Linked DNA regions of Sus scrofa. The protein of the gene in region 2 binds, or shares a complex with, the protein of the main gene of each other region. Links are inferred from orthologs where the notes say so. Each region holds a gene or a part of one and is shown on either strand. Other genes may lie near its edges. The genes, in order: RAB25 and RAB11FIP2.

The links.
Region 1: the proteins of RAB11FIP2 (region 2) and RAB25 are in contact, whole or in part, in a crystal structure (PDB 3TSO), measured with the Homo sapiens proteins. The link is inferred for Sus scrofa from reciprocal best matches to the Homo sapiens genes RAB11FIP2 and RAB25. Residues at the interface, in NP_055719.1 of Homo sapiens: Arg475, Glu478, Ile481, Asp482, Asn483, Leu485, Val486, Met489, Pro493, Ser494, Leu496, Arg497, Val498, Pro499; in NP_065120.2 of Homo sapiens: Arg34, Ile45, Gly46, Val47, Glu48, Phe49, Ser50, Thr51, Lys62, Trp66, Arg73, Arg75, Ala76, Ile77, Ala80, Tyr81.

The regions. Positions count from the first base shown.
Region 1 is NC_010446.5:93,967,676-93,972,239, forward strand, and holds the start of RAB25 (ras-related protein Rab-25), read right to left. Parts: upstream 3,068-4,564; 5' UTR 2,789-3,067; coding exon 2,746-2,788; intron 1-2,745. UniProt on the Homo sapiens protein: The small GTPases Rab are key regulators of intracellular membrane trafficking, from the formation of transport vesicles to their fusion with membranes.
Region 2 is NC_010456.5:128,070,072-128,073,069, forward strand, and holds part of RAB11FIP2 (rab11 family-interacting protein 2), read right to left. Parts: intron 2,299-2,998; coding exon 2,071-2,298; 3' UTR 1-2,070. UniProt on the Homo sapiens protein: A Rab11 effector binding preferentially phosphatidylinositol 3,4,5-trisphosphate (PtdInsP3) and phosphatidic acid (PA) and acting in the regulation of the transport of vesicles from the endosomal recycling compartment (ERC) to the plasma membrane.

The DNA.
Region 1 (4,564 bases), on a different chromosome or scaffold from region 2:
GGTCTAATTGGAACTACAGGTGCCAACCTACACCAGAGCCACAGCAACACGGGATCCGAGCCGTGTCTGCAACCTACACCACAGCTCACGGCAACGCCGGATCCTTAAGCCACTGAGCAAGGCCAGGGATCGAACCCGCAACCTCGTGATTCCTAGTCAGTTTGTTAACCACTGAGCCATGACACAATTCCCTCTCTCCAACTTTAAGAATTCCTTCTTTATGGAGTTCTCCTGTGGTATAATGGGTTAAGGATCTGGCCTTGTCACTGCTGTGGCACGGGTTCAAATCCTGGCCTGGGAACGTCCACATGCTGCGTGTGCAGCTGAAAAAAAAAAAAAAAAAAGAGTAGAGTTCCCATTGTGGTTCAGCAGTAACGAACCCAACTAGTATCCATGAGGATGCTGGTTCGATCCCTGGCCTCACTCAGTGGGTTAAGGATCTGGCGTTGCTGAAAGTTCTGATGTGGTCAAAGATGTAGCTCGGATCTGGTGTTGCTATGGCTTTGGCTGTGGTATAGTCTGGCAGCTGCAGCTCTGATTCTATCCCTAGCTTGGGAACTTCCATATGCTGCAGGTGTGGCCCTAAAAAGACCAAAAAAAAAAAAAAAAAAAAAAAAAAGATTCCTTATTTGTTAGGGAAGGAAAGAGCTGGGAGTAATAGGGGTATATGTGGGTAAGAGGAGGTATGGACATGTGTGTGTGTGTGTGTGTGTGTGTGCGCGCGTGTGTGTGTGTGTTCCTACCACTCTCTCTCCCCCCTACTGGGGATCTCATCACCTCTCAGCCCTCCCAGTGGATGGGCTCTGAACTCAATCCTCAGGCCCCAGAAGGACTTGGGGAAAGAGCTTTGGAGTCAGATAGACTTGGGTTTGAGTATTGACTTTGTAACATTTTGAAAGCTACTTGCTCTTTGTCTCACCTCCTCTGTAAAATGGAGATACTAATGGTTAACATTTATTGAGTGCCTACAATGTGCCAGGCACTGTTCTAAAGGCTTTACACATACGAATCCATTTAATCCTCACAACAAAGTCACAAGGCAAGTACCATTATTAATATCACCCCATTTTTAAATGACTTGCGCAAGACAATCCAGCTAGTGTGGTAAACACGAGGTGTGGTGCCCAGATGAGGCTTCCACGAAGGACTTGCCCCCAGCTTGCCCCCAGCTGCAGGGAGTGCAGTCAGCACACAGCCTTCAGCCATTGGCTCCTTCGACATCTGTTTCTTTCCTTCTTTCTTTCTATTTTATTTTATTTTATTTATTTTATTTTATTTTTTGGTCTTTTTAAGGCTGAACCCATGGCACGTGGAGGTTCCCAGGCTAGGGGTCGAATTGGAGCGATGGCCACGGGCCTACGCCACAGCCACAGCAATGCCTCATCCAAGCTGTGTCTCTGACTTACACCACAGCTCATGGCAACACCAGATCCTTAACCCACTAAGCGAGGCCAGGGATCAAACCTACGTCCTCACAGATGCTAGTCAGATTCATTCCCACTGAGCCACAACAGGGAAGTCCAACATCTGTAGGGAGCAGCCTCACCTGAGGTCATGCCTTCCCCGGGCAGCCTGCACCCAATGCCCCAGCTCCCTGCCCTTGACCGAGGCTTTGTGATTCTGCCTTGCAGTGCAACTTCTCCCTCTGCCCAGTCCTGTGTCCTCCCTCTTCTTTTCACTGTTGTTGATCCACAGTAAATATCTTACACTCCAAACTTCTCAGCGCCTGCTTCTAGTGACCCCCCCTCTGCAATAATTAGTAAGTGGCTGGGCTGAGATCTGAACTTGGTCCCGCTCCTGACTTCAAAGTGTTTTCAAAATTTGGGGTTGTTGTGGTGATTAATGAACTAGTAGCTGGCACATGGCAAGAACTCAACAAACAGCGGTTACTAGTAGTATTACTGCCCCAGTCTACTGCTAACCCTTACCCTATCTCCCTTCCTGAGAAAGATGCCGGGAGTACAGGTTCACCGATCCCTGGTTGACGGAGAGTCCCAGCTCAGGTGAGGGTGGGGCTGGGGCTGGGGCTGAGGCTGGGAGAGGCAGTGGGGTGGGGTGGGGTGGCTGGACAGGGAATCGCAGCACTGCCAGTCCACCCTGCCCTGAAGGAGGTGTGGAGGTGGGGGGCGGGGAACACTAGACTGGCCAAACACAGGGAGGAGATAAAGGAGCAGGAAGGATACCTGCAGACGTCCAGGGACAGAAAGTTGAACCCAGTTCCTGGTATTTGGGCCCAAGGGGTGTGCCAAGGGACAGACAGACAAGGCCCTGGCACTAGGAGTCCTCCAGATTCCATTCCCTGTGCCCTCTTCCTTACATCTGTGTCTTCATCCAGCCCTGTGATGGGATCATTCTCTCCGATCTCTCCTTTCCTGTACACCTGCCCAGAAAGATGCATTTCTTCCCCTTCTTCTCTGGAGGGAATCCTCTCTGAAGTCTGACCTCCGTCTCTCGTGCTGCAGTAGCTGACTACTCCTAGGGATTTGGGCTTCTATTAGGATGTGGGCAGAGGGGCCTCAGTTGTCATTGGTAAGGAGTGATCAACTGTGTCATTACTGACAACAGTAGAGCATTCCTGCAGCTCCGGGCTTTTGTCCCAGTAAAAAGACCCTCCCCACTCCCTGTGGCTTTCTTTTTGACCTGAAGGAATGATGAGCCCTGGGAGGGGATCTTGCTAAGGGATTAAAAAACAGGAGGGGGGCCCTCTGGCTCTGCTGGTCTCTTTCTTTATGGACCCCAACTCACCCTTGAAGACAAAGTTATAATCTTCTTCACTTCTGTTCCCCATCTTGGCTCTGCATGGAGGGCACAAACGTCTTCAAGGGCAGAGGTGAGGGTCTATGCGTTGGCTCAGTGCCCTCAACCTTCAGCTCTCAAGAGACCTGGATCCGGCCTTCCTCTCATGGAGGGGAAAAATACGGTCAGCAGCCAGAAGGATCGATGGCTGACTTAAGGCCAGAGCCTAGGGAGGCTCAGCTCTGGCAGGTGGCGGTGCTGTAAGGAAGCTGAGAGGACGGAAGCTGAGAACAGGAAGAGTGAGCTGCTGGAGACCTGGGGCCCAGGTGGGTGGAGAGATAATGACGTCAGACAGGTTAGACAGGTTGGGTGTCTGCTCTCAGCCTGGCTCCTGCAAGCAGGTGAGCAGGGTTGAGGGAGTGACAATGGGGGCAGCTGGGAGAGACAGGACCTCCAGAGAGCCAGCTAAGGACAGAATGCACACTGCTAGGCTCCTGGGACCTGTGGCCCTAAGAGGGCCAGCTACTTGGGAGTGGAGAATAACCCCTCAGGGAGCAGAAAATGACTGGTCCTCCTGCTTTGCCTCAGAGGCTGTGGTGAGGAGTAACTGGGGACCGCAGACAAAGGGCAGTTGTGGGGAGGGGCTGGGGCCACCCTGCTGCAGCAGAGCTCTGGGAGTTGCATCTCTGATACAGCAACTCCTGCCCCTCCCTGACAGCCCAGGGCCTGGGATGGGCAGTTTCTCAGCCTAGGTGGAGCTGGAACTTCCAAACTACCTGCTTCCTGGGACAGGTCCCTTCCTACAGGGCTGAGAGCTCCCTGTTGAGCCTTGCTCTAAGGATGTTGGGTAGGGGGAGACCTGGGGCAGAAACTGCCAGATGGGATGAGGGGTCTGAGTGTAGGGACAAGACTTCTGGGCGCCTTCTACTCCCTCCCCACAACCTGCAGCTTCAGAGCAAAGACATCATGTCTGCAAACGTCTTCCTGATCTGGAGATTGTGTAGGCATGTGAATGGCTAGAGAAGAGGAAAGGGGCAGTTCCTGTAGGCAGCCAGAGGGGTTCCCCTCTCAACTCCAAGAGTAGAAAAGGTGACCCCGAGAGTTCCCTTTATGGCTCAGCAGTAACAAACCCGACTAGTATCCATGAGGATGCGTGTTTGATCCTTGGCCCCGCTCCATGGGTTAAGGATCAAGCCATTGCCATGAGCTGTGGTATAAGTTGCAGACACGGCTCGGAGCCCGCGTTGCTGTGGCTGTGATGTAGGCCGGCAGCTACAGCTCTGATTCGACCCCTAGACTGGGAACCTCCATATGCTGCGGGTGTGGCCCTAAAGAGCCAAAAAAAAAAAAAGGCGGACCCACCCTCTCAAGGTCCAGACTGAAGGACACTGAACTCCCAGCCCCCTTCTTCTCTTTGTCCAACATGACCCCCACCAGCCCCTTGTTCCTCTGAGCTCACTCTCAAGGTTTCGCCATGCAGGTGGGTAAGATTCTTCTCTGCATGGCAGGGGCCAGGTGAGGCCACACCACTGGAGAGGCCCAGGGAGCCGAGGCACCCCTGCCAAAACCATTTGGTGGTGGGAGGTCACGGTGAAGGAGCAAGTGGAGAGCCATCCTTGCAGAACGTGAGCAGCCGGGGAAGCAACCCCGCTACGCTCCAGCTCCTCTGATTCCCGCCATCCAAGAGAGCAGCCAAGACATAAGACAGGAGTTGAAGTTTATTCTTGGGAAAAACAAAGTCCCACCCTCCCCCCAAAGTCCAGGGGGAGGTTTCACCAGGGGGCCCTGCCCCTCCAAATGGTCATCTCTCTTTTCTGACCCCTGCTTC
Region 2 (2,998 bases):
AAGAAGAGTAGTACTTGAACCATACTTTTTCATGAGCTCTATTTACATAAAACATACCCCCAATATGACACTGACATCTTGGTTCATTCTATAAAGAGTAAATTTGGCCAAAGCATACTAAAATATCTGCAGATAACCTGTCATAATACTGAAAACACATGGACTTCAGTATTTTGAAAAGTGCAAGAACTTCAATTACACTAAAAGAAAAAACAAATGCTTAGACTTCTGTAACATTTGATAAACGATAACTAGAAATGGCACCAGGTTAAAAAAGTAGTGATTACCAAGACTTCAAATGGGAAAATAAAATTCTACATCAGATTGTGAGGTTTATTACAGAAATTCATAAGTGGAAGAAAAAGTTGATAAAAGCTATTTTTTCCTTCTCTGTTTCCTCATTTTAAGAACTATCTAATTTTCTGCATTTGGGAAAATGTGTCAGAATTTCAAAATGTATGCTCTCATAGGAAAAGTAAAGAAACCCAGAAAATACATATAATAGTAATTTTAGCTTACAAATACAAGCTCGGCCAAATATTATCTGATTTAAAACATTAAACCGAACAAAACTATTTCATGTCCTTCGTATTTAACTTTCAATGAAGTCTTGGTAGAGATAAATGCTAGACAAAAAATACAGTTTGGTAAAAGACTGGGGAATGTATGTCTCCATATACTGCTGAATTTTTCATTTTCAATTCTGAAGACACAGATTCAGTATATTACAGTACCACAGACTTTTTGGGTTAAAAATAAGCAGTAGAGGATTAGTGATATTTTTACTCATTATCTCTCACTCTAAAGACTAATTTTGTTCAAATACATAAAGATAATTTATGAAAGCAGTCAACATTTCAGGAGAGCGGACTTTAAAGAAAAGCCGCTCAGAATCTTGTGATAAAACAATTCCTAAAGGGTGGATGTAAAAAGCTGTACTAGTAAAGATGTGTTCCAAACACTCACCTCTCCTTTAGCAACTCTTATTTTGGTTCAGAACCCAAATGCAACCATCTGTTCTATTAGATAACTTGCAACCAAGCCTAATTCTTCGTTCCTATTATTTGCTCACTGCTTTGGGTTATCAGGCATCAGATGATCACATACTTTTTTCCCCCAAATTATCTTCAGCTATAACTTCCTAATCTTTTCTTTGCTAGTATTTTAAAGACATTCAGAATCTGAACAAATCATGTTTGCTTACCTTCGGCTTAGAGCTCAAACGAAACTCAAATGTTAAGACAAAAAATTCAAGAAATTCATGCTGTTGAAGTTTCCTAAAATATGTCATTCTTTTAAATAGGACTCTGGATCATTACTTTTGGAAAAAGAGAAAAAAACTGATGCTGGAGAAATAGTAGCAGCTCATTTTGAAACCGAGGTGCACGTAGTCAAGAGTAATTTGAAGAAGCTAATAGACCATCATCGGAGCAATGATGATTTGTTTTGCATCGACAGAGCAGCACACATACCTTTTCACATTAAGAAATCCTAACTGGTATCCTAATTTTAGAGGCAACCAGTTGTTTTAAAATGTTCTAAAAACACACGTATATAAGAGGTATTGCATATATTTTATATACAAAGATACATGAACAGATATTCATGTACATCTATATGTATATAAAATAGGAACTTTTTTAAAGTAGTGTTTATAATGAGCAGTATTCTTGCAGCGAAATGTCTGCAAATTGACTTCTGAGAAACCAACCACAGTATCAATTCTGCTTTATGGGAAATCTATTCCTGAGGAATAAGTCATGTTCTTCTCAAGAAAATCTAGGCCTATGGGAGGTTAGTGGGCCGGCACCAGCACCTAAGGAACTGCTTATTCATCGAGCATCTGGCCCATTTTCACGCTAAAGGTTGAAATTATTTAGCTCACTTCAAAGGTCACTCTTGATAGTCTCTGCTAATATTTACAAGTAAAACAATTTTTTCACAATGAAGGAGAGTACGTAATGAAACCTGATAGTGTGGTCTCTCTCAGCAACAAGCTTTTCTTCTATTTTTCTTTCTCATTCTTCCTTTCTTTTTCCCCCCAGTTACAAATGCAGTACCATTAGCTTATCAGCTATTGGCGAATTTGCCAGCCTTCCTGGACGGCTCGTATGGCACTCTGAGAATGCTGGGCGTTTCTTCCATGACCCTTACGAGGAGGTTGTCGATGTAGTCCTCCAGCTCCCGGATGTGGGTGTCCTTCCTCCTGAGGAGCTCTTTGTGTTTCACCAGCTCCTGCAGCACCTCCTCGTAGGTCAGACTACGATAGCCCGCCGTGGCATCAAAAGGGTTGCTGTCCTAGAACAGGATAAAGATGGTCGTCTTAAGAGAGACAATATCAGGGACAAATTATGAATGGCTTTGTGCTCCAACTTTCTTCAAACCCTCGTCAAATTTCTCTCTATCCTTGGCTAGAACCAATGTGACCGGTCATAGAATGGCTGGCCCCTGTTTTGAGGAAACGACCAGGGCAGATGCACCAAAGCCTTGATCACAACCCTAAATTCTTCTAAAACTATTTCTACCGTGTGGACAAGGTCCCAATATAAGAAAATGACCGTATAATTTAAGGTTAAATAAAGAGATAAAATGTTCTGTAATAAACATAATTCGAAGAGACAAAACCAAAAGATCTGCAAGAATTAACTATAAGAAATATAAGAAGCTACTGAAACTATGCATTTGGACACTGGTTTAGTCCTCATGGAATTTCTTCCACTGAACTGTAGTTTAATGTCATCATGCCTTTACCGTTTTATTGAAGATGGCTACCAGGAAAAAGCAATATCGGATCTGCTTCTGCAATGTTACGAAATGTCGAAGGCATTAAGAATTAAATCCTTATGGGCATCCTTTATAAGAACCCCACGGGAGGAACTACTGTTTTAACTTATAGGCAAACAGACCTTCTTCTCCCCTGAGTAACTAGTCTATTTCCTCCTTTTAGTACTAATACCTATACAATTTATTTCCCTTTTTGCCTTGGTTGTCAGGACAC